Alligator mississippiensis: one gene and its partners. The protein of the gene in region 4 purifies or fractionates together with the protein of the main gene of each other region. This does not show direct contact. Links are inferred from orthologs where the notes say so. Each region holds a gene or a part of one and is shown on either strand. Other genes may lie near its edges.

Region 1 (7,149 bases), on a different chromosome or scaffold from region 4:
CTGTGCGGGTCAGGGCCAGCCAGGCTGCAGCCACCCCCAGGCTTCCTCCTCTGGCTGATGGGGACCCTTAACTGGGGGTCTTGCAGGGCATTGCACTGACTGCCCCCTCTGCAAGGCAAGGCAAAGCCCCCTGCCTCCACCCCCATAGGCACTAAGGAACCCATCAAGCCCCTCTGCTCTACTTCCTGTTCCAAACTGCTATGGGAGCCCTGCCAGGCTGGGGCGGATGCCCCCCCCACACCCCCCTAGCCACCCAGACGCCCATAATTACAGCTTAAGTCACACTAACTGTGGGGCTATTCATAGCAAGTGAGCTCACCATGGGCAGAACCACGCCAGCTGCCACCCCCTCCCCTTTTTGTGCCCCCCACAGCCAGGTATGCTCTGGTCCTTGCAGTTGGGAAGAGGGAAACTGAGGCCAGAAAGGGACATCCCCCAGCTGCTCTGGGGTGGAGGCTGCTGCCCGGCTGTGCCCGCACCATGGGGGGGGGGGGGCCTGAGGGGTGGTGCTCCCAGGTGCCTGCCAGGACCTTTGGACCTGGCTGCTCTCACAAGCATGTTGCCTGGAGTGGGCAAGTGTAGACCTGAGCCAGTAGAACAGCATATCCCTGAAACAAGCCAGCCTCAACCTGACCCCAACCAGCAGGGAAACACCCTGGGGAGAGAACCCTGAAATCTGGGCATGGCTGGCACCCATGGCTTCCTTGGGGAGGGGTGGGGGGGGTGTCAGTCCAGGGATTGGGTTAGGCCAGGGCCACGCCACATCATGTAGCCTGCACAGGCTGGGGCATCACTGACCCCCAGCAAGTTTGGGCTAAGAACCTGCTCCCACCCCACAGCCCACAGGGTGCCCACCCCAGGCTCAGATCAAAGCACAGCAACTGTCTGGTTAGGGGGGAAAATCAGTTGTGTTGTCAGCCCCCCCCAAAATTAACCCCCTAACAGCTCCCTGCCCCCCACCCCCTCTAGCTCCTTTTACTTCCGGGGTGAGGGAAGTCAGTCCTATCTCTCCTCGCTGCACTTTCACTTTCGGGTGTGCTAGGGCATGCAGGAGAGGCTGAGGCATGGACCCTCAGGGGGCTGGACCCAGGCCTGGCTGGAGCCGAAGGATGGGCCGGAGTGGGGTAGACCTTGCCCAGGGAGATTCCCCCCTCCCAGCCCAGGAATCGACAGGTGCACCCAGCAGAGACACTCGGGGGTCTAAGGAGCCGGAGCCAGAGCTGCCCCGGCCCTGGGCAGGTACCAGGTCCCTGCCTCATTAGAGCCCCAGCAGGGAGTTGGGGCCTGCCCAGGAGTTGCCAGGCATCTAGAGGGAGGACAATCCCCGGCTGGCCAGAGTCCAGTTACCCCAGGCCCGGCCAGACTAGTCCAGACAGATGCGCTTTATCGTAGACCAGGCCAGGCCCAGGGTAGCTCAGAACAGGCCTGCCCTAGTTATCCGATTCCAGCAACACCAGTTACCCCAGGCTGGGCCACAGTCAGCTTAAGCTCAGGCCAGACCAGACGCTGGTAACCCAGACCAGGCCTGACCCCAGTGACCCCAGGCCAGGACACCCCCCCCCCCACAAACCCTCTGCCTGCCCGCCTGCCTGCCCTGGCACGGTGTGGCACCCTTACCCTTCTTGAACTCCTCCAGCATGGCGTCGAGCTTGGTGTCGTGGAAGACGAAGTGCACGGGGTGGTTGTAGAACTTGGCGATGGTCTTGAGCGGTGTGCTGTCGTCAGGGTCCACGAAGGCCAGGTCCTTGACATAGAGGATGTCCACAATGTTGGAGCGCTCATCCTCGTAGACGGGGATGCGGGTGTAGCCACTCTCCATGATCTCTGACATGGTGTTGAAGTCCAGCACAGCCTCAGCGGGGATCATGAAGCAGTCATGCAGTGGCGTCATGACGTCCTCCACCGTCTTGGTGCGCAGCTCCAGGGCCCCCTGGATCATGTTCAGCTCCTCTTTCACCAGGTCGTTGTAGGGCTCTGTCACCTTCAGCATCTCCACCAGCTTCTCCCGGTTGTAGACGGTGCCGATCTCCTGGCCCAGCAAGCAGTCCAGCACTTTGCTGATGGGGTAGGAGAGTGGGAAGGTGAGCAGCATGAAGAACTTGGTGAGGACGACAGTGTTGGCACCCACGGCCAGGCCGTGCCGCGAGCACAGGGCCTGCGGCACTATCTCGCCGAAGATGACGATGCCCACGGTGGAGGCAGCCACAGCGCCCAGCCCGGAGCCGATGAGGTCCTCCAGCAGGATGGTGAGGGTGGTGTTGACCAGCACGTTGCCCAGAAGCAGCGAGCACAGCAGGTAGTTGCCGTGGCGGCGGATGGGCTCGATGCGGCGGGCGTGGCGGCGCTCTGTCTCTGTGCCGCAGTTCTGCACGATGCGCAGCTCCATGGGGTCCAGCGCCATCAGGCCCAGGTTGAGCCCACTGAACATGCCCGACAGTGCCAGCAGTGCCGCCAGCAGCGCTGCCTGCAGCCACGTGGGCAGCAGAGACCGCTTCTCCTCCACCACCACCAGGCGGCCCTCGGCGCCCGCATGGCGCTGCCACGGCTGCCCAGGTGCGGCCCGCGTGCACAGCACGTAGGCCTTGGCCCGCTCCCGCTTGCGCAGCGCCCGCACCCGCAGGCGCAGCACGGCCGAGGCCTCGCCCGCATCCCAGGTGCCCCGCTCCACCTCCACGTCGGGCGAGGGTGCGGCGCACGTGGCGTTGGCGGCCCCCGAGGCGTTGGCGCTGCCCGGCGCCTCGGCGAAGGCCACCAGCTCCCAGGTGTGCGCGGGCAGCCCCAGGCCGAAGAGGCGCAGCGCCACGTGGCTGCCCTCGCCCACCTGCACGCCCGCCGCCAGGCCCGGGGCCTGCGCCTCCGGCTCCAGCCGCATGCCCACCACGCGCGGCGGCCCCGCGGCGCCCAGCCCCGCCGCGCCCGCCGCCCGGCCCAGCAGCGCCAGCGCCAGCAGCCCCAGCGCCAGCCCCAGCGCGGCGCCCCGCGCCCGCCCCCGCGACCCCCGCCGCGGCGCGCCCGGCGCCATCTTCCGCCGCCGCCAACTGCCCGCCCGGCCCGGCCCCGCCCCCCCGGCCCGGCCCCGCCCCGCCCCCTCAGGGCCGCCGCCGAGAAAGGGGCGGGAAGAGCCGCCGGGGCGGCAGCCCTGATGCGGGGGGCGGAGCTGAGTCGCGGCCGGAGGCGCTGTTGTTTGGAGGCGGCGGATCGATCCGCGGCAGGGGGCCGGGGCCGGGGCCGGGGCCGGGGGGGAAGGAGCGGCCGGGCCGCCCCGCTGTACCGGTGCCGTACCCGGAATGGTGTTGCCGTGGCAACAGAGCAGGCGGCCCCGAGGAGCCGTGGCGGCGCTGGGCCATTGCCCCCGCCTCAACCCTGCTGTCACAGGCAGCACCCCCTGCCCGGTACCCCGGAGAGGGGGTGGGGGGGTGGGGAGCGGGTTGCCCAGCAACCAGTACCATGGCGTGGCTAAGCAGCCATCACCGGGGTTACCTGGCAACTGTTACCACGTCAACGCAAAGCCACCATCACCCGGGCATCCCCACCAGCCCGCTACTCCCGTCGCCAGGCGACCACAGCCCTGACACCACGGCACCCGTCACCATGCCACCAGGACCAGGGGTCGCCTAGCAACTGCGACCCTACCGCTGCTCAGCAACTGACACCAGGGTCACCGGCAACCTGCCATGTCAAACCTAAGCCGCCCTCTCCAATGGCAAAAGGCAGGTGGGGGGGTCACTCGGCAACCATCACCACGCCGTCCGTTGTTAGGCAACCACCCCCTCACATCAGGGTTGCCCGGCAACTGTTTCTCTGTCGCCACCCGCCGCCGGCTCCCGAGGGGGGGGAGGGGACTCGAGCTCTTTAAGACGGGCCGGCCGAGACAGGAAGTGCCTATCCGCACTCCATTCCCCGGCATGCCCCGCGGCAGCGCCCCTCCCCTCCTAGCGTGGGGATGGCGGGCCCCCCGCCAATGGCCGTGCACCGCTCTGGTGGGGGGGCGGAGTCCCGCGGCTGAGGGGCAATGACGGCGGAGGCCGGGCGCCCCGGCGACCAATGAGCGCGCGGGGCGGGGCCGCGGGCAAGATGGCGGCGGAGGGCCGGCTGCGGTGTGTGGGGCTGCGCCTGGCCCCAGCCCCTGCCCTGCCGCTGCTACTGGCGACGCTGGTGCTGGCGCGGGCCGAGCAGACCGAGGAGCACTTCAAGCGCGAGCACTCGCTCACCAAGCCATACCAGGGTGGGGGCGGGGCGGGGCTTAGGACCCCCCCCAGGGAGAACGGGGGGCTTGGGGGCGGGGCTTGAGATGACGGGGTGGAGCTTAGGGGATCCCAGGTTGGAACTGAGGGTAAAGGGGCGGGGCTTGCGGCCCCCAAGCGAGAACTGAGGGTGTGGGGGCGGGCCTTTGTTTCCCAGGGGCGGAGCTGAGGGCACTTGGGGGGCAGCTAGATGGTCACAGGGTGGGGGCTGAGCCCGCAGTGCTGGGGGAAGCCAGGCACTGCCCCCCAGGCCACAGTGGGTGCAGATGCTTCCCTCCCTGCCCCCAGGCGTGGGCTCATCCAGCTCCGCGCTCTGGGACCTGCTGGGCAACGCCATGGTCATGACCCAGTTCATCCGCCTGACGCCTGACCAGCAGAGCCGGCAGGGCGCCGTCTGGAACCGCGTGGTGAGTGCTGCAGCGCGGGATGAAGGGGCTGGCTGTCAGCTCTAGCCTGGACTCGGGCCGGTATGCAGAGCAGGGAGGAATAGGACCCCCCCCCCCTTCACTTTCCCTTTGTTTCCTTGATCTAATGGACTCCCTGCTCCTAATGAGCTTCGCTGGGGGATAATTGCTTTGTGAGGAAACCAGACACTGGGGTGTAAAGGTGCTGGCTGCATGGCCGTGATGCCCAAGGGACCTGCCTTGGAGCCAGGGAGCATTGGGCCTGTGGTATCCACATGCCCCTGACCATGCCTATGCTCTCCACTTCACAGCCCTGCTACCTGCGGGACTGGGAGATGCAGGTCCACTTCAAGATCCATGGCCAGGGCAAGAAGAACCTCAACGGCGATGGGTTCGCCCTCTGGTACACCAAGGACCGCATGCAGACAGGTGCTAGCCCAGGGAGTGGCTTTGAGGAAGGTGGTGGCGAAACATGGGGAGACAATTGTAGACTCACAAGAAAAGTGGGGCGGGAAGGGACCGGCAGAGGTCACAGCTGGGCCAACCCCCTGCCTGAGGCAGCCCCGTCCAAACCTTCCCAGACATGTCCATCATCTAAACTCTCCGCAAAATAATCATCAGCCCTGGTGCCACACCAGACATCGGTCCTGACCCTGCTGCAGGGAAAACAGGGGGACCAGGGCAGCCACCGTCTTGTAAAAGGTGGTTAACAGATGATAAATGATCCCAGGCAGAAGCCATGCCCCCGCTACAGAGGAAGGCAAAGCCCTCCCAGTCTGTACCAGTCTGAGCAGGGGAGACCCCAATGCAGCATTAGTCTGAGCCTGAGCAGACAGCAAGACTCTCCAGCCAGGAACCCCCAGGGTTGAGTCCCAGCAGGAGCATTGCCACAGCCCAGTCCCCATTCCCAGCCTGGGCTGCAGCCAGCACCCAGTACCTCTGGGGAAGGTTTAAACCCGCCCTGTCTGCTGCTACGTGGGGCAGGGAGGACAACCAGCAAAGCCCAGAAGCCCCATAGCAGAACACAGGCATTGCCATGCCTAGATCATCCCAGCCCAGCAGCTGTCTGACTTCTCCTTGAATCTCTCCAGTGATGGAGAGTCCACTGCTTCCCTCGACTCTGCAGCTTTGGACCCCCTGTGGCTACTCTGTGCTCTGGATGCTCAGAGCACTGACAGGAGTTGGTGGGGTTATGTGCCTCCAGGGTACAGCTTCTCTCTTAAGCAGTACAGGTTGGGTCACTGACCTCAGCCACGTGGTCTGACTGGCCTTTGAATGCTACCACTGCCGAGTGGAGGCTTCTCTGCGTGTCAGGTGGATGAACTGGGTTGTGGCTCCTGATGGGGCTCGTGACTTGGTTTACCCTCGGGGTGTGACTTCAGGGCCCTGTCCAGAACGACATAGGGTGGCAGATGGCTGACAATCTCTCTCTCCCTCCCCCCTCGTGCAGGACCCGTCTTCGGGAGCAAGGATAACTTCCTGGGGCTGGGCGTGTTTGTGGACACATATCCCAATGAGGAGAAGCAGCAGGAGGTGAGGGGCACTGGGAGGCCACCTGGCTGGCTTATGGCTTTTGGCACCTGTGGGGCCCTCTGCCTCTCTCCTGAGTTTCTCTCTCCCATTGCCTCCTCTGATGCTTTGTCCATGCGTGGTGGCCATCTATGGCCCCTTCTATGTTCAGAGCAAGAGCAACAGACATAGACATGGCTGCCAGCTGGGGGAGAAGAGAGAGTGAGTGCTGACCCCTTGAGGGCAGGGGATACTGCCAGGCTGGGAAGAGGGAAGTGGTAGAGCCCGCTTTGCAGTACAGAGCCCTCAACTCTGGAGGCACATCCTGGACTCCCACTGCCTGTGCCAGCACCTCGGATCTCCTCCTGGGCCTCTGAATCCCATCATGCGCTGAGCTCTGCTCTAGCATGGGCCTGTCCTCTAGTCTGGATCTCTCTGGGGCATCAGTAGGGAAGGGAATCCATGAGCTAAGGGGCATCTTTCTGGCTGCTTTTTGCCCCAAACAAAGGTATCACTTGGTTCCAGGAAGGCCCTTGTCCAGGAGTGTGTGGCAGGATCCCTTGTCTCTCTGTGACCTGGGGTCTGGCTGCCTCTGACCTCAGCGCACAGATCAGCAACTCTGGAGAACTGGGAACCCTTCTCCTAGCCCAGCCTGAGTCTGATCCAGCCTTTCAGGTTCCTGCCTGGCTCCACAGACTGGAAGGGACCCCCAAGGAAGCGTGGCCAGGGTCTTGGGGCTAGGGCAGCTTTCCTTGGCTCTGCATTTCCTGAGATGGCCTCTCTTGGAGGGTCTGAGATTTGTGACTGTCTCGCTTCTGTACCTCTTTTGCTTTGCACTCCCCCTGGGGACTCAGGCTCAGAAGAGGCGCTATACCCCTGGAAATCAGGTACCCACTCACGGGGGGGCAGCTGCCAGGGCTATACCAGTGCTCAGCCTCTCCTGCATGCGACTGTGGCTTCCCTGATTTTCGTGGTTGGAGGGGGGAGTTTGC
Region 2 (7,897 bases), about 93 Mb from region 4:
ATTAGTAGTGGGTCAACCAGAGAGAGCCCTTCAAAGCCTAGCGTGCAGATCAAACACAGCCTACAAATTTTATTGCACAGAAGAACTCTTGAGTGCAGTTTACAAAGTTCACCCGAGTGTCAGAGTTACCTTGAGAAAAGGTTAACTCAAATACTCCCCATTTACCTGGCTGTGGTGTTAATACAATGGTAAAGATCTCCTCCTTCAGGAAGGCTCTCACGGGGACTGAACTTTTCTACAGTACTTTGAACGAGGACATGATAAACTTCCCCCACCGCAGACTACTCCGAGTCTCCCAGCACGGGACCCCACAAAATGGGCAAGGTTGGAGCATCTTCCCACCCCTTGCATACAACCCCTTGAAAAGGTTTCCCTGCGTGCTGCAGCTGAAAGAGAGGAACAGGTTTTAGAGTTATTGAACGATTGCTTGCAACAATAAAAAACGCACAATGAGAAGTTAAGAGGCGTCTACCAGGAGACCCTCCCACCCTTCCCCTTACGCCCCAACCAAGGAAAAACTGAAAAGCCCCAGGCTAACCATCACAAAAACCACAGTCCAGTTTTGGTTAGGCAACAAAGCGCATGCTACTCCACACAGCAGGGAGTGCACAGATACAGAAAAAACCATATCGACATGTGGCTCAGCTTGTGGTTGCCAGGGCAAAAACGAGAGGAGAGGGGAAGGTCTGTAACGCCGGCACGTGTAATTAGCAAATCAGTTAGAAGTGAACTGTAAGGCCCATGGTTAAGGAGGAGGGAGAAAAAAAAAGCCCCAAAGCTATTCACGAGCTACAGATCTGAAGCATCAATGAGGACAGCCGCGAACTGCACACAAGCATGCACCAGGCAGAGCGAGCCCGGCTGCACTGGTGACGGGAATTCAAAAGCCTTGTTGATCTCAGCACGTGCATGTGCGCGAGCAAACGGCCTGCAAGACGCTCGTGACCTATATCACCCACCCGCCCCTCTTCCGACATACGACCAGCCTACAGGGCTGGAGATGCCACCACGGAGGGTGCAGACCCATGGCAGTACCTGCCGGCGGATGAATACAGATACACAAAAAAACATTCAGCCAAAAAAGACTGCATTCACACACATGCACCCCCGGCTTGACAGGAAACAGACACATGCCATCACCAGGTGCACACATCAGGCGACAGACAGGTGCTTATCTCCAAATTGCTCCACTTCTACTTCCAGTGGAGACGGCAGAGTGAAAGAGCTCCCCAAAAAAGGTAGCAGCCCTCTTTTCTTAGGCCAGCTCGGCCACACATTGTAACCGGGCCGCCCCTCATGCCCCCCGCCCCTCCGATGCACGGCGGCGGTCCCCACCTTTCTTGAACTCCTCCAGCATGGCATCGAGCTTAGTGTCGTTGAAGACAAAGTGCAGCGGGTGGTTGTAGAAGCGGGTGATGGTTTTGAGCGGGGTGCAGTCGTCAGGGTCCACGAAGGCCAGGTCCTTGACAAAGAGCAGGTCCACGATGTTGGAGCGGTCACCCTCGAAGACGGGGATGCGGGTGTAGCCGCTCTCCATGATCTCCGACATGGTGTTGAAGTCCAGCACGGCCTCGGCGGCGATCATGAAGCAGTCCCGCAGGGGCGTCATCACGTCCTCCACCGTCTTGGTGCGCAGCTCCAGCGCCCCTTGGATGATGTTGAGCTCCTCCTTCACCAGGTCGTTGTAGGGGTCGGTGACCCGCAGCATCTCCAGCAGCTTCTCCCGGTTGTAGACCGTGCCGATCTCCTGGCCCAGCACGCAGTCCAGCAGCTTGCTGACCGGGTAGGAGGCCGGGAAGGTCATCATCATGAAGAACTTGGTGAGGAAAATGGTGTTGGCGCCCACGGCTAAGCCGTGCCGCGAGCAGATGGCCTGCGGCACGATCTCGCCGAAGATGACGATGCCGATGGTGGACACCACCACGGCCACCAGCCCCGAGCCGGCGATGTCGTCCAGCAGGATGGTGAGGGTGGTGTTGACCAGCACATTGCCCAGCAGCAGCGAGCACAGCAGGTAGTTGCCCTGGCGCCGCACGGGCTCGATGCGCTTGGCGTAGTTCTTCTCCTTGTCCGTGCCGCAGTTCTGCACGATGCGCAGCTCCATGGGGTCCAGCGCCATGAGCCCCAGGTTGAGCCCGCTGAACATGCCCGAGAGGCACAGCAGCAGCGAGATGAAGATCACCTGCAGCCAGAAGGGCAGCAGGAACTTCTTCTCCTCGCCCACGATCATCTTAGTGTCCTCGCCGTCGTGGTAGATCCACGTCGTCTCCGTCCAGCCCGGCCCCTCGGCGGCGCCCAGCGCGCCGGGCGGCGCCGCCACCGAGGTGCACAGGTAGTACGACTTGCTCTTCTCCGTCTTGCGCAGGGGCTTGATCTCGATCTCGATGATGCCCGACGTGCGGCGGGTCTGCAGGATGCGCGGCAGGATGATGATGTCCGACGTGCGGATGCCGCAGCGCTGCGGGGCCGGGGGGCCGCCGGCGGCACCGCCACCGCCGTCGCTCCCGCTGCCGCCACCCGGCCCCGGGCCGGCCCCCGGCGCCGCCGCGCCGCGGTGCCGCCGCTCGTGCTCGGTGAAGGCGATGCGCGACCACGTCTCGTTGTTGATGTTCTGCCCGTAGACCCGCAGCTTCACCCGCGTGCGCTCGCTCACGCGCAGCGCGCCGCCCTCCATGAACGACACGTCGTCCGTGTCCTCCAGCCGCAGCCCGATGATCACCGTCTCCTCAGGGCCGGCGGCGCTGGCGGCGGGGGAGGCCAGGGCGCCGGGCGCGAGCTGCTCGCCCAGGCAGTGCCCGCCCAGCAGCAGCAGCGGCAGCAGCGGGAGCGGCAGCGGCAGCGGCAGCAGCGCCCCCCGGCCGCCCCCCGCCCTGCGGCCCGGCGCCATCTTGACTCCGGGCTCAGCCCCGCCGCGGCCGGGCGTCGCGGGGCGGCTGCTGCGGCTGCGGCGGCCGCTGCGGCATCCTCGCTCGGGCCCCCTCCCCCCGCGCGGCGCGGCGCTGCAGCTCCTGCCCGCCCGCCCGCCCGCCTGCGGCCGCTGACGGGCGCCGACTGCCGGGCCCCGCGCGCCGCCCAGCCCACCCCGACGCCGGGGGGCGGAGCCGCCGCCGCAAGCCGCCAATGGCCGCAAGCCGGCCCCGCCCCCGCCGCGCGTGACTCCGCGTGTGGGGCCGCAGGCGGCGCAGCCAATGGCCGCGCCGCGCTGGCGGCGGGAGGGCGGGGCCGGCCAATGGCTGACGGGGGACAAGGCCGGGGGCGGGGGGGGGGGGGAAGGGGGCGGTGCTGCGCTCCGGGAAGGAGCCGCGGCTCCACCTGGCGGCCGCGCTCGGGGCGCGCTCGGGGGGCGGGCCCGCGGGAAGCCCCGCCCCCACCCCTCCCAGCCGAAAGGCGACTTTTTTCTTTTCATGTTTTTTTGCAAAAATAGTTTTTTATCTACAGAGAAACACGGCTGTGCGGGCGAGTCCCACAGCTTTCAGCACACCGGCGTCAGCAGCTGGAGAACAATTTTTAAGCAACCTTTATATATATATACACACACACACACACACACACACACACACGTACGTGTGTGTGTGTGTGTATATATATGTGTGTGTGTATGTGTGTATATATATGTGTGTGTGTGTGTGTGTATATATATATATATATATATATATATATATATATAAAGGTTGCTTAAAAATTGTTTTCCAACTATTGAAGTTGGTCTAATATATGGATATATATGGATATATATATACACATATATGTGTATATATGTATATATACGCATGTATATACACACATGTGTGTGTATAGATGTATGCATGTATTGAAATATATGTTTAAATGTATTGAAATACATGCTTAAATATTTACACTTAAATATATTTAAAGATACACTTTAAGCATGCATTTGCATGCTCAACTATGGACTTTAACATATTCAAATGTGCACTTGGGTATTTAAAGCTATGTGCCTATTGGAATAGTTCGCATATGTTGAGGTGTACGTATATATATATATATATATATATATATATTTACGTCCGCACGTAAGTATGTTTCTGGTGAAGTGCGAGTTATTTCCTCCAAGCGCTGCTGGCGAGAGGGAAGTTAAGCAGGAAATCCTGAATTTGCGCTGGCGCTCGGTCCCTGGATGCAGCGTCGGCTTGAATCGAGTAGATCATAGGAAACGTTATTTTCCGAGGACACTGGCTACACGTGACTGCCTGGGTAACATCCAGCCGTGCGTTGTTTCCAGGGGCTGAGGTTTAACATTTGTTCTGGCAGCAGATGAGACTTCAGATGCCGCCTGCGTTGCCGACGTGCCCTGGCAGAGGGCCAGGCGCGGGAGCTTGCACCGAAGCCGTTCACTTTGGGGGCAGATCAGCTCCAGTCCAAACCCCAATGCGGTGGGCTCATCTCCTGTCCCAGCCTCCCCCTCGGTGTCTTAGACTCAGAGAAAACGAGGCTGGAAGGGAGTTCAGGAGGTCACATCTCGTCCAACCCCTGCTCAGAGCAGGACCAGCTCCGACTACAGCATCCCAGACAAGTCTACCCAGGTCTTCAACACCTCCAAGGTTGGAGACGCCACCACCTCTCTGGGTAACCTGTTCCAGTGCTTCACCACCCTCCTAGTAAGAAAGTTTTTCCTAATATCCAACCTCAACTTCCCTTGCTGCAGCCTGAGCCCATTGCTCCTTGTCCTGTATCTGCCCCCACTGAGACCAGCCCAGCTCCATCCTCTTTGCAGCCCCCCTGCAGGGAGGTGAAGGCTGCTATTCGATCCCCCTCGGTCTTCTCTATCCCCCATGTCATTGCTCATCACTGCTCTCCCGTCAGGACAGCTGCCCTACAACTCATTCAAACTGTCAGATAACTTCTCATCCTTTGCTCCACTGAAGGGGTTTTGCTGTTCAAGACCCCTCTGTGGTTTGAACAGCAGGGAAAACACAGATGACGGGACGTCCAAAGCCGTATAGAGGGGGATGGAGGCTTAAGGGAGGCCGTGGCAATGAGCCGCACGGGAGCAGTTTGCTTTGCAGTCCTGGAGCCACCTATTGCATTGCCCGGCCTTGCCGTTGCGCCTGGCTCCAGAGGAGCGAGGCTCTCATGGTACCAGCGCTCCTCTCCTCTTGCTAAGCAGCGCCAGCTCCGTGAGCAAACGATGCAGCGACAAGGGGGTCGGAAGGCTTACTTTGCGAGGGGCGTACAGAGCCGCAGGGAAAGACTCTGCTGGAGTACGGAGCACCAATGTCCAGCGGCAGAAACAGGAAAGGTTGCGTTTGGGAGCCAGCCATCTCTCAGGGATGAGTTTCTTCCGAGAAGCAGCCCTCCCTGGCCGTCATGATTGACTTTGCAGCTCTATTACAAACCTAGCAGGGCCCGCGTGTGCGTGTCATGACAATGAGGCGATTAAAAATTAACCTCCGGGCTCCCGACTGCTGCGGCCCCCTCCCCTCCCTGCTGCGCGCGCGGCCCCCCGCACCCAACATGACATTTCTTTGCCTATTGCGCTCCTGCGGGCCGAGCGTTTAATATTGATGAGAGCCGCTCCTCTGATGGAGGCTAGTTAGCGCAGGGCCCAGGCTTCAGCTGCCCAGGGTCCCTCCCTCGTCAAATTAGGCCGGGAGTTATATGCCAAGAATTACCATCAATGGGACGAGCTCTTTGTATCTCCCACTAGGGAACACTCGGAGCCTCCTCGTGCTCTCTGCTGGGGTCACTCTGCATGCAGTCATAGCTAGTCTGCAGAAGAGACTGGGGGGGATTTGAGAGCAGCCTTTAATGACCGGAAGGGTGATTACAAAGAGGATGGAGCTGGGCTGCTCTCGGGGCGGGAGGCAGATGGCAGGACAAGGAGCAATGGGCTCAAGCTGCAGCAAGGGAAGATGAGGTTGGATATTAGGAAAATCTCACGAGGAGGGTGGTGAAGCACTGGGACAAGCTACCCAGAGAGGTGGTGCACTCTCCATCCTTGGAGGTTTTGAAGACCCAGCTAGACAAAGCCCTGGCTGGGATGATGCAGTTGGGGCCGGTCCTGCTTGGAGCAGGGGTTGGACTAGATGTGACCTCCTGAGCTCCCTTCCACCCTCATTGTCTGGAAATGGTAGAAGCATTGCCCGCAGATGGAGGGCAGTGATGCTTCCCTCTATTCAGCACCGGGGAGGCCACATCTGGAGTCCTGTATCCAGCTGTGGCCCCCACGACAGAAAGGATGTGGACACGTTGGAAAGAGTCCAGTGGAGGACAGTGAAAATGGTTGTGGGCTGAGGGACAGGACTGGTGAGGAGAGGCTGAGGGAACTGGGCTGATTGAGTCTGCAGAAGAGAAGACCGAGGGGGATTGACTAGCAGCCTTCACCTCCCTGCAGGGGGGCTGCAAAGAGGACGGAGCTGGGCTGGTCTCAGTGCAGGTGCCAGAACAAGGAGCAACGGTCTCTGGTTGCAGCAAGGGAAGTTAAGTTTTGATATTAGGAAAAACTTTCCCATGAGGAGGGCGGTGAAGCACTGAAACAGGCTCCCCAGAGCAGTGGTGCAGTCTCCATCCTTGGAGGTGTTTAAGACCCAGGTAGACAAAGCCTTGGCTGGGATGATGCAGTTGGGGCCGGTCCTGCTTGGAGCAGGGGTTGGACTAGGTGTGATCTCCTGAGCTCCCTCCCACCCTCATTTTCAATGATGCTATGAAAATACTTTTAGGCCCTGATTCAGGAGAGCCTTTAAAAGCATGTGCTAAACCCACTGAAGATGCTCCTGTTTCCTGAGAGCAGTACATTTTGCAATTCCCCCTGCGGAGGAGGTAAGTGTCGTTATCTCCATTTAAAAAAAAAAGAGGCACAGAAAGCTTAAATAACTTAACCGCGATGCCACAGCAAGTCTGCAGCACCCCGAATCGCTCCAGCCTGCTGGCTACTCCCGTATCTCTGAATTAGACGAGCAGCGCCCCAAGCACCCGGCGCCCTGGGAAGGGGGTGAATGGTGCCGGGGCGCTTTGAGGAGCACAGCTACGGCACCTCCTAAGAGAGAAGCTGAGCGGCCAGGTTTGCTTTCTGGGTAACGATCTCGTGACAGTTTCTGAGATGTGCAGCAGGCTCGTGGCCCCAAAGAGCTCCAACCGGAGAGCCGTCACCTCCATTCCCAGCGGAGGAGCCGCTAGCGCAATGCCGGAGGTGACAATGCAAGACGGATAAAGTCCTGTTAGCACTTCCTCTCCGTTCTCCCGAAAATGCAAAGAGCCCGTGGAAACAAAGTCATGCAAATTCGCTGGCATTTAGCAGTGGCCTTTTCACGTATGCATGCTGGGATGGGGGACCACCCCCGGCTGGAGCTGCTGGGGCATCTGAAAGGCTCGGGCAGGGTTTCATGGCTTTTTAATGAAGTGGCTCACAGGTGGGGAAAAGCTTAAATCCGCTCTTTCATTCGCACCCTGAAGATCTCCTTTGATAAGAAGAACTAATTGCAGTAGATGTGCCAGGATAGGGTGCCGGCATTTGAGCAAGTCCTTGCGAATAACAGCAGGAGGGGGATACGACTGGGGCGTCTGTTTGCAGGGGAGGAGAAGGGGAATCTTAGGCCCCGAGCCTTGATCTTGTTATCGGATGCATCTTCTGATGCATGTGCCCTAGCTAGACAGCAGCTGAGACCAGCTCACGCTGGCACCCAGTGCGACCTACCTCCATTCCCCCTCTGACAGCCCCAGGCCCTTCAGCCTCCCAACATCGTGAACGGGGGGACCTGCACGCCAACAGGCAATCATCCGCCAGCTTGCCCCTGGCTCTGCAGCCTGACTCCAGCTCCATCGCCTCTCCGGCCCAGATGCCTGGGGCTGGCACATGCTGCACTCAGAGGCCCACGCTCTCTACTCTGTCTCCAGACACCGAAGCAAGTCGGGAAAGTCTCCCGTTATCCCCTGGGCG
Region 3 (7,721 bases), on a different chromosome or scaffold from region 4:
ATTAGAGGTGCACCAATACATTGGTCCGATATCGGATCGGTACTGATATAAAGAAAAATGGCTGTATGGATATTGGCCCCATAAATGCCTGTGCTGCACACAGCCACAGTACAGCACTCAGGAAGCAAGAAGCAAAGCTAGTAACGTGGAGAGCTATCTCCAGCTGTTAAGTCCAGTGTAGTGGAAGGTGAGAAGGGAAGGGATGCTGGACACGCACGTGCGCGTGGGCACGCCCCCCCCCCCCCCCCGTGGTGAGGGAGGGGCAGGTGCTGCCCAGATGAGCCAGGGCTGCAGCTTGATGGGGGGGGAAGAAGGCAGCTCCTACCACTGCTTGCACGCCATGATGGCAGGGTGGGGGGGCATGAACCCCTGGATCTGCACAGGGCAGGCTGCAGCCAGGGCTGTGAGGAGCTCTTCTCGGCAGGGGCTGGGCTCGGAGGAGGTGCTGGCAGCACTGGGAGGATGCTGCATCCACCTCAAATTCTGCTGACGCTCCGCTCCCAGCACTGCCTCAGCTCTTCCTGGCGTGTGGGTGGAGGCAAGGCATTGAGCAAGGGCTGTGCTGGGTGGCTGGCAGCACTGGGAACAGAGCAGCAGTGAAATATGGAGTGCGTGCAGCATCCTCCCAGTGCCACCAGCGTTCACTCTGAGCCCAGCCCCCCACTGAGAAGAGCCCCGCACAGCCCTGGCTGCAGCCCACCCCACACAGATCTACAGGGCACACGTCCCTGTGCCCTCCCAGGGTGCAAGCAGTGGTGGGAGCCGTCCCTCCTTCCCCCAAGAGCCAGGGGCATTGATCTGCTCCCTGCCCCATATCCCTTCCATCACACCAGGCTTACCAGCTGGAGGCATCTGTATTGGAAATCTGATTGGAATCAGCCAATACACCTTCATAAATATTGGTTATTGGTATTGGCCCCCAAAATCTCTATTGGTACACTCCTACTAAATATAGCCATGAATTCAACAGCTAACTTTCCCTAAACTTTCCATCTCAAATGGCTAAGGCACAAGGTTAAGTTACCTACCCATCCTTATGCAACAAGCTTGGCCCAGACCACTAGCTAAAATTTTCTTGGCTAAAGGTCCTTTGCTTACATTACCTCCACAAATGCTCCCTCAGCAGTCAATGAATGATATTGCTGCTAACTGCCAAAACTAAAGAAACACAAAGTAGGAACAGTAAAAGAAAAATCTTGCATTTATCTGAAGCCATTATTATAATCCTTCTCAAGTCACCTGTACCCATGATTTTCATATGGCATTTGTTTTATAGTTGTTTATATATTACTTATTTTGCTGTATGCATCTGGCATAAGATAAATTTCAGCTATGATCAGAAATACCAATTTTAAACTAGAACTGAAATCTTCTAGCGAATTCAGATTAAATCTAGCAAGCCAGCAAGTTTTGGACAGAGATTTGCTACAGTAGATAGAATAAAACACATTTAAGATCAAGTTTTTTTTCACCACTCACCTATTTAGCCTAGTAAGCAAATTAGTACATTTCCCAGGTCTCAGAGTAATTCTAGAGCTAAAGCAGTAATCTTCAACTTTAGTCAGATAATACATGCCAAGGCTCATCACTGACCTAGGAAAACTACCATTACCACTATGCAAAACTAAATCCTTCTCTCTTTTGCACCATAACACAAGAAGCCTCCCACCCTGTCCGTTCAAGAAAGGGCAACATGCAGCATTTCTAAGAGAATGGGAAAAATAACAGTTGCTACATACATAGTCATCTTTTTTTGTTCCATAGGAAGCTATATAGTCTGCATGTTTCTCCAGAAGCAGTGTGCTTAGGGCATCAGGTTTTATTATAACATCTTTTTGTGGTGTCCCCTAAAAAACAAAAAAGCAAAATAAAAATCAAATTCTGAATTGTTACCGGGTAAGCGGGTAAGGTCTTTACCATCTAACACAAGGGTTAGCAATGTTTTTGACCAGAGTGCTAAAAATACACCAAGTCAAGGCATAGGCCAGGGTTGGGATGCCAGGGGCAGATCACAGGGGAGCCATGAAGGGCCCAATCCTTGTTGCTGGCGGTGGCTGCACATGCCTTTGGGTAGACTGTGTGGGAAGGGCAGGGTTGCACTGCCCTGCCCTGCCCTGCGCACGAGATGCACGTGTAGCCACCGCCTGGCAGGGAGCTGGTGCTGGACCCCTGGATCCCGCTGCGAACGGCTGGCTGCCTGCCCCAGCCGGCCTGGGCTCTAGGCAGTTGTGGCAGACTGCAAACATCTGCCCTGGGCTCTGGAGCACTGGCTGCATGTGGGCCTCTGGGCACAAGATGGAGAAGGGGCTGCAGCAATGCAAGCCTGGCCTCTCCCCTGCCACCCACCCAGAGCTGCACCTGCTGCCAGCCACCCTTGCAGCCTCCCAACCACCTGCTGCAAGCAGCCCCTGCTCTGCTCTGCGGCCGGCAGCCACCGCCCAGCGCCAGGTGGCTGTGATGTGCGGACCAAAATGGCCTCCGTCCCCTGCTCTGGCACGTGGTGGGGGTAGCTGACCCCCGCCCTAACGTTTTTGATAGTGGCTTTCAACAAGACAGAACAGAAGCAGCCACAACGGCCGCACCTCCTCTCGTTTTGTCCCCTTCCTTCCCCCGCCCCCCTCCCCAGACACCCCCCCTCCCCCGCCCAAGCGGTCACGTCTCCCGTCACCGCCTCTTCCAGTTACAGGAACAAGGACTCGGCCCAAGGCGGGAGGGGGAACCCCTCCGGCAGACGTGCCATAAATGAATCCCCAGGCGCTCCCCGAGGGCCACCGCGCCCCCCACGCCTGCCCGCACTACTGCTCCCCGCCGCCACCGGGGCAGATCCCTCGTGGAAGCGCCCCCTCGCCCCGGGAAGCGGAGGCCCCGGCCCCGGCGAGCCAAGCCCGGCCCAGGGGACGAGGCCGCGCCCGCTGCGGGCGGCGAGAGCAACCCACCATGTCGGCGGCGCCCGTGGGCCCAGGGGAGGAGGCGGCGCCCCCGCCCGCCCCCGCGCAGGACCCGCCAGAGGTGTCTGCGGCGCTGCCTGCACAGCGGCACCAGCGCCAGGGTTCTGCCGGGTGGGGCGGAGTCCGGCTGCTGAGCAGAGGTGGCTGGCGCGCTGCCTGCCCCGAGCGCCGCACGAGGACCCCAGCTGCCTTGCGCAAAACAGCAGCGCCCAGATGACTCTGCCCCCCGCCCCATGGGCGCTCGCGCCCTATTGTTTTGCGCCTGCGCGGTGGGAGGAGGCCGCCCGCGCCGCGTCACAGCCGTGATGCGCCAGTTCTGCAGCCGGGAGAGCAGCGGGCCCTTCAGTCCCGGTTACAGCCGTTATACGATGACTTGGTTAATCAGGCAATACGTTTGGACGGGCCGCACAGTGCGAGGTATTGTCGCGGGATCAACACGGCCGTCCAGTTATAAAAAAAGAAAACCGGCGACAAAGTTAGTGCTTAAAAAAGTGCAGCCTTATGGCTGGTTTCCTGCTTCCATTTGAACCTGTGGCAGGGCCCTCCGGGGCTAACTGCCAAGGGGACCCGCAGGCAACACCCTGCCTCCTCAGCTGTAGGAATGGCTCAGGGTCCTGTGCTGCCGCCCCACTGGGGCCGTGCTCTCGGGGCCTTTGCTCTTTTAAAGGCTGGTATTTCCTTGGCATCTCTTGTCATCTGTTCAGGCTGCTGCTATCACCCTGATGATATGTCATAATCCCACCTGAGTTTAGCGTGCTTTAATTCACTTTAAAAGTACTCCAGAATTTACAAAACACTTTTTGCACATGAGCCTAGAAACTTCACTTCAATCTACCGGATACAAAAAATTATGAACCAAGTATAGACATTGGACTTATGGTGCATTATAATCCGCCTGCCGTCCGATAACCCTAGGTAACCTCTACGACATTTTACCAACAATATTCCCCTCCTTTCCCCCCACCTATTTATTGTCTCCCATTCCCTCAGATCCTCACTGTCATGTATTTGCATTTCCACAGACCTACATTTTCCATATTGGCTTCTATTCCACCATGGAGACATGGGCAGACAAGGTTCCTTGGGTTCCTCTGCCTATATCCTTAGACCAACACGGCTACAACCTAAACCCCTGCACCATGGAGACATGACATTTCTTTTCTACCTAAAACTTTTACAATCTTTGAATTCTCCTCAGCCTGAAGAAGGGCGCAGGTATCCGAAAGCTTGCAAAGAAATGGCAAAGAAAGCCCCTTGCAGCTCCCCTGCTGTCTGCCTCCAGCACACCAAATTGAGGCATGGGTAAAAGTTGGGGAATTTTTGACGCTGGCCAAAAACATTGCCAACCCCTGCTCTATAGAATTTCTAGCTGAGGAAGTGAATCAAATAAGAGCTGAACAGTTATGTGCAAAGAAATGAGAATCTGCAGATTTGCTGCTCTAGTTTTCTCAGTGTTGGTGCACTCTGTTGGGCAATCTCTCAACACAGTAAACTACAGGCAGTCCTTGGACTTAAGATGCGGTTTTCAGGAACCAATTGTGTCCTAAGTCAAAACGCAGTCCTTGGACTTAGGACGCAGTTGGTTCCTGAAAACCACGTCTTAAGTCAAAACATTGCAACTCAGAACCAATTTTCTCATAAGAAACAATGTTATAAATGTGGGATTGGTTCCTGAACCAAGGCCCGATACCCTATTTTCACCAAAAATACCCCAGAATCTTGTACTCGATCAATTATATGAGTAATATAGCTACATTAATGTATTTATACTGTAAATAGCAATCATTGATTTGCAAGGACTTCTTTGAAGCGACTTTGCTGGACTTTTTGAAGGGCTCTTGGTTGGACTTTTTGAAGGGTTCTTGGCTGAAGTCTTCTCAGAAGTCTTGGCTGCAGGTTTTTTTGGAGTCTTGTCTGTTTTCTTAAAGTGTCCAAGGAAGTTTGGACAGATGTTTTCCAGGGAGATGAGCAACGCAGCAAACTTGTTCGCTGGCGTAGTGTCGCATCGGATCAAGCATTATAAAGTCAAAACTGACATCATAAAGTTGAAACAGGGTGTCAAGTTATAAATGTTGTAAGTGCGAAACGTAACTCGAAAAGTTCTAAGTCGAGGACTGCCTGTACACAGTTTGGCAAGTCTGTATTAGAACACAGAACTCTAGACCAGAAAAGATGCAAAGAAGATTTTTCAATATTTTTTTGCAATATTTTTCTTGAAGTCTCAGAAGGAAATGGCATTCTTCCTTTGCTAGAATAAAATGCTGATTATTGCAACTGTACTATTAAGCTGTCTGTGTGTTATACACCAAAAGTGGGCACACTCTCAAAACAGGATAAAAAGATATGTGATTATAAGTTTGCAAAGTACTCAGGGACCAGTCAGGATGAAAAATTTTATATAAAATGTAAAGTAGCATGTAGAGCTGTGCCAAGAAAGGAAAGTCTGCTAAATGTGAATTATGAATGTTGTGTTTCCCTATCTGCATCACTTCAATAACTTTGCATGATGGACTTTCTCCAGCTAGATCATTTGTAATAACAAGATTAAAACACACAAGGAAGTCAGTTACCTGCACTATAGATTGAATAGATTCTCCTCTTTGAATTACATCAAGCACAAAAGGCAAAAAAAATTAAACAGACCCATCAGTACTTTTGACTTTGGATATTACATTTCAGTTGGTGATTTGCCATAATAATGAATCACCCTCAAAAGAATCTGTCCAAGAAATTAAGTAAATAGGCATCTGAGAATGTGATCAAGAAACATCTGTCACTGAACTAAACATCTCAAAGGAAATTGCCCCGTTCAGCAGTTTCTGCCACACCTATTTCTATGTTTGGACTGATGGAAGAAATGACAGACTGCAAATGCTGAATGTACAAGAAACAAGATTATGTAAGTCACTGTAAGGCAAGTAAGCACTAAATAATCTCACAGATTTCCCAACAGAGCAAGCTCTAAAAGAATGCACAGCTTTGTGAAGTGGGAAGAAGAAGCAATCTCAAAGCATTTTGGTGGAAATCATTCTGTTTCCTTTTCCATTGCCTGTGTGACTCAACAAGTTAAAAGTTTAACTGAATTTCAGGCATGTTATGGTTAACCAAGTGAATTGGATTGATGAATCTTCTAAAGCAGTGGTTGTCAACCGAGGGTACACATACCCCTAGGGGTACTTAAAAGAGTTATAGGGAGTACGTAGAACTGATGTGGCTTCTGAGAGCTGCAATGGGGAAACTCCCCCTGGGCAGTGAGATCTGCCACAGGGGAACCCCTCCCCCCACGGGTCCCTTCACCCCTGACTAAGGCAGCACGATTTGCCCGTGGTCCAGGAATTATGTGAGAGGCAAAGATTTTTGGGGGTATCTTTTACTGGACCATCTGCATGGTTGGAATAGTTAGACAAGCTTTCAAATCCAAGTATTCTTCATCAGGAGAGCCCCGAGTTTGTCTCCAGTGCTGCCACTTGCCCCAAGGAACAGAGCAAGGTTACTCTGAGATAGCTTCCTACCCAGTCAGCTTCAACTCCCTTACTGGACCTGGCAGCAACAGTAAAGAAATGTCAGCTCCAGGTGCCTCCTGCTTTAGGGTAGGAAAGAAAATTGGGGGACAGTGATTCGATCTGTTGATTTGGATCATTGTCCCGATTTAATTCAGTCGAATCTGAATCTGAAGATTCAATGCCAATTCGGAGAATCAGCAATTTGGCCATAGACACAGCTTTAAATGTTTTTTCTACATAGTTTGAGGTACCAGGCACGGCTCACGAAAGCTAAGATGGTGGGGTGGATGGAGTGTCCCACAGGAGCACAGCAGGGGGCCCTGTGTGCTCAGCGGCAGACCCGGAAGTGGACCAGAAGTACTTGCCAGTCCACTTCCAGGTCTGCCAGGTCCCCCCCCGGCTCAGCAATCAGCCGTGGGGGGACCCTGGGTGCCCCCCCAGACCCAAGAGGCACTGCTAGGTGCAAGCTTTCCCCTGTGCCCACTCATGTCCGGCCAGTAATTCCAGTTAATAGAATTCCCGGTTACTTAAATGCCAGATAACAAAGATTTTACTGTAATTTTTATTTGCTCTCTTCTGGATTCTCCATGTAGTTCAGCTCTGGGGTGCTCAAAACTGAACACAGTGCTTCTGTTAAGGCTGGTTGGGGGGAGGGTACAGATGAGTTTGTCATGCCCAGTCTAAACTGCTCTTAAAAACACCCAAGGAGGGTGTTCCACAATCTGTGTAGGTAATTTGCAACTTGTCCAGCTTCTCTTTAATAAAACCATACATAGGGGTACTGGCAATAATATAGTAGTAGTTCTCTGTGTTTTTCCTTATTCTGTTTCTTCCTTTGGATAATTTTGATTTTTGTAGCTGTGACAACTTAAGAACACTTTGAATCGGTGCCAAGTGCATAGAAAAGCAGAAAAAAATGTTTTGGAATAGCTTGACCACCACAATGTAGAGATGTATGCCATTAGTATAATCTAGCCTACAAATTGGCAGGAATAGTCCCCTGAGAATATCCTCCTCCCTAGCTACTACGGAGCTAACAAAAGGCTCATTCCTAGCCCCTTGCCAAGGTGGTATATTGGCAGCGTAGCACATCTTTTTACAATATAACTGCAAAAAGTGAGAGTTCAAAATAGATAAGTGACCTTCACTTTGTAGAATATTTTGGGGCTTTCCAGTACTCTTATTATCTTGAATTATATTGCAAATTAGATACATGACTGCTGGCAAAAAGCTGAAGCCATATACACTAAACTCCAAAAGCAGAGATTTT
Region 4 (7,039 bases):
TTTAAAACAATGGGTGAATTTGAGTTCTGAAGGACTTTGCTTAATGACAGTTCTCTCTAAGATATGTCATCTCTCTGCATAGCAAACAGGCTACTAGTTCCACAGTTTCTTGGAAAAAAAAATTCTTAATCTCTGAAGGAAGCTTGTTCATAATGACACGTGCCTGCAGATGGGGAGGGGGGTGAGGTCAAGAAATTCTACTGTTCCTCCCTATCCACCCGCCTACGAGTTCCCTCCTGATTTGCTGACAAGTTTGCTGCTGATGACTCATTCATTTCCTTTTGCTGGACCTAGTCACACCGTCCTAGGCCTTAAAACAAGGCAGAAAACAGATTGCAGCTTGCATTAGTAAGAAAAAATATTCACTGCTGAGACTAAACTCCCAATTTAAAAATACAGCAAGAGAGAATAAAAAAATAAAAGCAGTGTCAGGAGTTCCAAGACGACGCTTTTCTCAGCGCGGCTCTGTTCTCACATTGAAACTTCAGTGAAGACTGGAATAGCTCATCTTCCCTTCCAGAATTTGGGTGAGGTCAAATAATTTACAACCAACACCAAATACATAGAAGAGAACATCTTATTAGCTAATCCAACACTGGGAAATGAACAGATACTCAGTTTGGGTTTTCAAAGAAAATTAGGTACATCCTTTTGCTAAAGAGAAATGTTTCAATTTGCACTTTTTTAAGCGGTTTAACCACATCCATCTGTACTCAAAACCAGTTCACAGGGGAGCATTTGAATGCTGTTTAAGTCATGTCTCCAGTTTATTTCAACTAGGGCCCCTAAAAATAAAAATGCCTTAAAACAGCCCAAAGCAATGGTCCACCTAATGAAGAGCAGTAAGGAGTTCAAAATTATCCATGTTAGCAATCCCCAGAGCTATGTTTAAATTGCAAAAACCCAGTAGTTACCTTTGATACAACTAACTGAAGTTTTGTCGAAGTGTGGGAGCCTGACGGTTTTAACAGCCCCTTGCAACATAAGGATGCTGAGATGTTTGAACTGCACAAAGTGCCGCATTTTGCAGACAGCAAAAGCTCCGTGTCCATTTCCTTTGGCAACACAAATTGGTATTGCTCGTAAGACGTAAAATGACAAGTCTCTCAAATTAGTGATACTAACTGATCACGTGGACAGGCAGCTTAATGACAGCTTTGCACAATTAAGAGAATTATTCAGAAAAGTCACAGGAAGAAAAAACTCAGCTCATTTTGATGAACTTAGGATAACTTTCTAGTACATCTAGAAAATGTAACTGGAGACAGGAAAGACCTAGAGCCACATTCAATCTAAGACCAGAAACTTCCATCTACAGTTCGGTTAAGCTGAGGAGGCAACTGTTAACACTGAGGACGTGCAACAATAATTATTCCAGGCTTTCTGTATGACAGGCTGCAAAGAACAGCACGGTTTAGTATAGAAAGGATGGAAACAAGAGGTGAGGACAGAAGTAGCCAGTCCTCTCTACTCATACAATTGTAACGCACAAATGCACACATCCAATGAAACTAATGAGAAACCTGTCATGCGCCCCACACCACAATTTAATCACAGAGTTCATTTACCACAAGATGATATGGAAGGCAAAGCTAACTGGGCTTAAATGAAGGATTAGACATAAAAATCAGGATATGTAAACACTCACGCTTCAGGCCGTAAACTGTTAACTGACGGGGATAGAAAAACCTCCATGCTTGCGATAGTTAATTAATTGTGTGTTGTAATATTCTTTCCACCCTGCTCTGAAGCATCTGGCGGTGGTCACTATCAGTCACGATGCTTGCTGAGAGAGAGATCTGGTCTAATCTACCACCGGCATGTCGTGTGTCAAAAAACAAGTCACCCGGTTCTGCAGGTGCTCGCATGCACGTCCGGCGACAGGATCGTAGAAAATGAGGTTGGGAGGGACCGCAGGAGGTCACGTCCCGTCTAACCCCCTGCTCAAAGCAGGGCCGGCCCCAACTACATCATCCCAGCCAAGACTTTGTCTAGCCGGGTCTTAAACCCCTCCAAGGATGGAGGGTCCGTCCCCTCTCTGGGTGGCCCGCTCCAGCGCTTCACCACCCTCCTCGTGAGAAAACACTTCCTAACATCCAACCTCAACCTCCCTCGCTGCACCGCGAGCCCACGGCTCCTCGTCCTGTCATCCGCCACCGAGCCCAGCTCCATCCCCTCTCAACCCCCTTTGGGGGCTTGAAGGCTGCTACGAAACCCCCTCCGACAATAACGGCGACACCGAGACGCCGAACCTTCGACGGGCCAATAAGCTGCCGACTCGATCCTGCTAAGACAGGTCGTGCCCGCGGCTAAAGTTGGGCAGTGCCCGCAGCTAAAGCTTGGACGTGCACCAAGGAGGGCAAAGCTCGCGAATAAAAACGTGGACGTGCATAAGGTGGGCAAAGCTCGCGCAGGAAGCGTGCGAACACGGAAAGGTGGGCAAAGTATAAAGCTGGCACATGAAGCGTCTCCCCCCGCCCGCCGGGCCTAGCACACAACAGACTGCTCGCTCGCTCGCTCGCCCTCCCGCCCCCCGGCCGTTATTTCAAATCAGTAAGTGAGAGCATTATCCCTCAAGTCTGAGGAACCCACGGAGTCGCCCCCAGGCGGAGGAGGGGCGGCCGGGGACACCCGTGGCGGTGGGGGGTGGGGGGGGACACCCGCCCGCCCGCCCGCCTGCCCGCCCGGCGGGAGCGGCCCCGCGCCACAGGCCGGCCGGACGGGCGAAGTCCAGCCGCGCCCCTGGAGGCAGCGCCGGGCGGGCGGGCAGGCAGGGGCAGGTGACGGCGCCCACCTGCCCGAGGTGAACGTGAAGGGCCGGGGCTCCTCCGCCGGCCTAGGCCCCGCTCCCCGCCCCGTCCCTCCGGGCCCCGGCGGCTCACCCCGGGCATCGAGCGCGGCGGCTCCGTGCGAGCGAGCGGGGAGCGAGCGGCCGGCGCCTCCCACGCGGGCCGGCGGGAGGGGACGGGCCGGGCCGGGCCGGGCCGGGCGGGGCGGGGCGGGGGGAGCCGCCCGTGGCGCAGCCCGCGCGGGACGCCGCCCCTCCCCCCGCGCCAACGGCTCCGCGCGCGCCGCCCACCCCTCCCCCCGCGCCCCGAACGGGGCGGCCCGCGGGCCCCGCCGCCCCCCCTTCACCGCCGCCCGGCTTGGTACGGCCCGCCGCGACACCCCTCGCCCTTGGTACGGTCCGCTCGCTTCCCGGCAGCACTCGCACGGCACCGCCTTCCTCATGGTATAACCCGTCTCTTCCCCCCCCGCCGCTGGCATTGGTACGTGCCCAATGTAGGAATGGTAGAACCCACCTCCCCCCCTCAAAGCAGCAATGGTACAAGCCATTTCCCCTCCTTTGGAATGCCTATGACGCCTTTTCCTCTCCTTTCCAACCCCCCACTCAGCTAGCCTTAGTATGCTCCATTCACCCCCCCATCACACGATTGGTATGGCCCATTTCCCCCTTAAAGTTCCATTCCCCATCATACTGGCATTGGTATACCCCCCCTGCAGAGCAGTACTTTGGTTTGATCCACTTCCTGCCCTTCCCCCCCTTCCCCTTTCCCTTCCCTGCCTTGACCTTTGCTTGCTGAGGTCACTGCTGCAGGGCACAGGGCCGGGGGACACCCTCCCAGAGCCCCTGCTGCTCTGTGCGTGTCCCCAGGGGCAGGGATAGGGACCTGGGCGGGGATCTGTCCCATTAGGCCCCAGTTTGATGCCCAGTGCATGAAAGGCACAGGCACAGCGCCACATGTGCAGCTCTCCTGTGTCCATGGAGGGGTTGCAATAAGAGAACAGAGTTCGAAAGGAGCCAAGAAGCACTGTGGATGCACCCGGGGAAGGGGGGCTACCTCGCCTGGGGTGCGGGAAGTGAACACTAGCGGTATCACAGGTTGCAGGGAGTCTGGATCCTGCTGCCGTCAGTGATGTAACAACGGGGTTACTCCTGTCCTGTGCCGGTGTAACAGTTTGTCCCTGCAGCCCTGAAAGCTGAGCTCTTGAATACAGAAATATAAATCCCATTATGCGGGGGAAGGAACTGCATTGCTCAAGGCCAGATGCCGAGTCATGGGGACAGTGAAGAACACAGTCCAGATGTCCCAACGCCTCAGCTGCAGACTGGAAATCCTTAAGGCCGGCTGTTGCCAAACTAGGGGTCATGACCCCGAGTGGGTTCGTAGCCCTTGCCAGTGGGATTATGAACCACACAGATTATTACCCTGGCTGCACTCAGCCCAGAAGGGCAGTTAGTTTGTGGTTTTGAGCCTGCCAGAAAGTGGGTTTGAAGTCCTGACTCCAAAAAGATTGGGACCCGCTGTCATCCCTTTGGGCAGGGACCTGGATATTCTTTCGAACCTGACCGGTACTGTGTGCAGCGCCGGCCGTACTGTATACGTAAGAAAAGTGTAGGTCAGTCGTTCTCAACCTTTTCAGATTCAAGGCACCCAGTGTTAGACTCGAGGCCCCTTGGAAAATGCCAGCTCGTAGTTTGTGCTCATCTTTTGACTACAGACAAATAATAGAGCAATTATTTGCAAAGAACTCAGAAAGATCACAGCAGGTCAGAATGCTTTTAAAACTATGAAGTCCTGTTGGAAATCTCTGAACTGGTCTTGTGAATCAGGTCTGGACACCTAGCTGTGCTAATGCTCTGCGGCACCCTTGAACGGATCTCAAGGCACCCTGGCTGGGAATCACAAGTGTAGGTGAAGATGGAGGTGGCCGTTATATGCCGCAACCAACTGATGGAGGGAGCACAAGTTAACTTGTTTCTGTAAGTTGGGCTCCCAGCATAAGATGGGGGTTACGTGGGAGGACTTGCTTCACCTGAGATGCTACGAACTTTGTGTTCTTTCCTCCCCTATCCAGCTAATTTGTCAGCTGTGTAGAAATGGGAGTTCTGGATTCCTGCCTGCAAAAAAAAACCCGTGGAAGTAAAACTGGGAGCCTCTCGGGTAAAGTGGAAAAACGAGAATGATGTGATGAGCCCAGCCCATGGCAGGAAAATACCAAGCATGACAGAAAGATTAGCATGACTCCATATCTGCTGCTGAAATTCTGCCAGACAGAGGAGAGGGGAATCACTTAGTCTTTTAAGTTTTAGGTGCTGGAAGTGGGTCACCATGCGACTATGATGCCCAGAGTGGTAATGACAGAGAAAGCTGGGCTATCAGCCCAAGTATTCCCCTCTATTAGGAGAGCACAGGAAACAATCCAGGAATATAAGGAGCCAGGATTTGAACAGAGCAATATGCAAAAGGCTATGGGGTTATTTTCAAGGACGATGAAATTTTGTAATGACTTCCACGCTCATTTAGAGATAATGTCTTAGAAGAAGAACTACCTTCCTGTGGGAACCAACCTTGCAGGACTGAGAGACAGAGAGAAAGAGAGGAGCCACACCAGAGGCAGGGAAGCCGACCTCACCACACCCTCTGCAGTTGAGAGTGGTGCAAAGATATCTGCCTCTCTGGCTCCCTTCTTGTATATGAAAACATCACATTCATCTTGCAGTAATCATCTTCTCAGAAACACTTGCTCATCAAACTTTGTGCATCTCCTGCTTGCTTCTTCCAGCTCAGAGACAGCATTGCCTCTCCATCAGGGCAGCATTTCACAGATGGCCCTGGGGATGTATTCAGCTGGTTCACAACCAACAGGCCAAAGGCATGTGTCTGAATGAGTCGGTTTAGTGGTACTGTTACGAAGCATCAGAACAACCGTCCTGGAGAATGAACTCCCTTTTATTATTCACAGAACAGGGCCATGGTAGGCAGCAGCAGAGCAATTAAAAAGATTCTGGGCCCGTCAGCTAACACGGTTATATTCGTTACACAGGACAGCAAGGGAAGAATCCAGGACATCCTGAATCCAGGACATCTGATTCCAAAAACACAGTGTCTGAGAGAAATTCCAGCTCAGGTAGTTGCATCCTGCTTCCATTAAACAATTTCGGTTGGAGATGCTGTTCCTCAATGCCTGTCTGAGGATATGTGATGCCACCTTGTGCTCTTAACCACGTTGCATCCAAAAAATAGCTGCGGTTTAGAAACATTTTTTGGCAGGAGAGAGGTCACAGAATGTCTTTGAATACAGAGACATATGCGAAACACATGCTCTTAAAGCAGATCCATTCTGTTCAGTAATTTTGGAGGCCTTACTGTAGAGGAAAGCATTGTCATGACTGATAATTGAAACAAGAAGTCAGTTCTTAAAAGCTGTAGTCAAAGCCGCAGCTTTTTGCATTCATTGAAATACAGCCATTGTATTCCTTGCCCATCTCCCAGCAGGTGTCATACATAATGTCGGTTGAGATCCCACGTGCAGAGAATATAAGGGCAGGTAAGAGGGGCATTTCTTTGTCTGAAGTTAGATACATACAGTTCTTTACCTGCTGCTCTTAGAGGCATCTTTATGTGTCGGCAGCACATCTAGCATGCAGGCGAGATCAGGAGGAAACTGGCAGTGCTGTAACCTGTGATAAAAAACATGAAACCACATGTTAGCCAACACAAGATGATTGCAGCACAAAAGCCAAATACAACATAATGGTCACTGTTGGGAGAAAATCTTGCCAGGGAGGAAGAAAAAACAAATGACTGTGAACCCTGGAGAAAATCATGGTTTATGTTGCTTACCAAACAAAGCAATTTGATTTGTGCTAGAAGTCAGCAGCTAGCAATTACGGGAGATGGAGAGCACGGGAAAAGAGCAGGGTATAAAGAGGATGCAGCAGCTTGCCAGGTGCTTTTCTCAGCTCATAAGCAGACTGTGGAGATACATTGATAGAGTAAACAACAGCGAGGGGAAGAATTATTTAGGGTGGTACAAGCGTGGTATAATACCGGCCCCGACTATCCCCCAGCTGTGGGATTTGCCACAAAATCCAATCCTTGCTGCAGCAATCTCTGTTTCCTTTCAGCAATTTCTGCTAACAGCTGTGGTTGCAAAGGAAACCTTGAAAACACGACCCCAATGGAACTGGTCCACATTTACCTTCCTGAGTCTGCAGGGAGCTTGAAGCACTAGTGCTGAATGATAGGAAAAG

The links.
Region 1: the proteins of PTP4A2 (region 4) and CNNM4 purify together in Homo sapiens (affinity purification with mass spectrometry; 6 studies listed by BioGRID and IntAct, counting the BioPlex papers as one, with this or other methods). This does not show direct contact. The link is inferred for Alligator mississippiensis from reciprocal best matches to the Homo sapiens genes PTP4A2 and CNNM4.
Region 2: the proteins of PTP4A2 (region 4) and CNNM2 purify together in Homo sapiens (affinity purification with mass spectrometry; 4 studies listed by BioGRID and IntAct, counting the BioPlex papers as one, with this or other methods). This does not show direct contact. The link is inferred for Alligator mississippiensis from reciprocal best matches to the Homo sapiens genes PTP4A2 and CNNM2.
Region 3: the proteins of PTP4A2 (region 4) and RABGGTB purify together in Homo sapiens (affinity purification with mass spectrometry; 3 studies listed by BioGRID and IntAct, counting the BioPlex papers as one, with this or other methods). This does not show direct contact. The link is inferred for Alligator mississippiensis from reciprocal best matches to the Homo sapiens genes PTP4A2 and RABGGTB.

Annotation. Positions count from the first base shown.
Region 1 is NC_081830.1:10,489,281-10,496,429, forward strand, and holds the start of CNNM4 (metal transporter CNNM4), read right to left. Parts: upstream 3,001-7,149; 5' UTR 2,873-3,000; coding exon 1,618-2,872; intron 1-1,617. Other genes in the region: LMAN2L (VIP36-like protein), read left to right, coding at 4,045-4,225, 4,533-4,651, 4,960-5,077, 6,099-6,181, 7,012-7,044. UniProt on the Homo sapiens protein: Probable metal transporter. The interaction with the metal ion chaperone COX11 suggests that it may play a role in sensory neuron functions. May play a role in biomineralization and retinal function.
Region 2 is NC_081829.1:99,037,696-99,045,592, forward strand, and holds the start of CNNM2 (metal transporter CNNM2), read right to left. Parts: upstream 3,004-7,897; 5' UTR 2,888-3,003; coding exon 1,336-2,887; intron 1-1,335.
Region 3 is NC_081828.1:22,511,326-22,519,046, reverse strand, and holds the start of RABGGTB (geranylgeranyl transferase type-2 subunit beta), read right to left. Parts: upstream 3,018-7,721; 5' UTR 2,940-3,017; coding exon 2,937-2,939; intron 1,848-2,936; coding exon 1,740-1,847; intron 1,724-1,739; exon of another isoform or gene 1,480-1,723; intron 1-1,479. UniProt on the Homo sapiens protein: Catalyzes the transfer of a geranylgeranyl moiety from geranylgeranyl diphosphate to both cysteines of Rab proteins with the C-terminal sequence -XXCC, -XCXC and -CCXX, such as RAB1A, RAB3A, RAB5A and RAB7A.
Region 4 is NC_081829.1:5,801,934-5,808,972, reverse strand, and holds the start of PTP4A2 (protein tyrosine phosphatase type IVA 2), read right to left. Parts: upstream 3,004-7,039; 5' UTR 2,883-3,003; intron 1-2,882.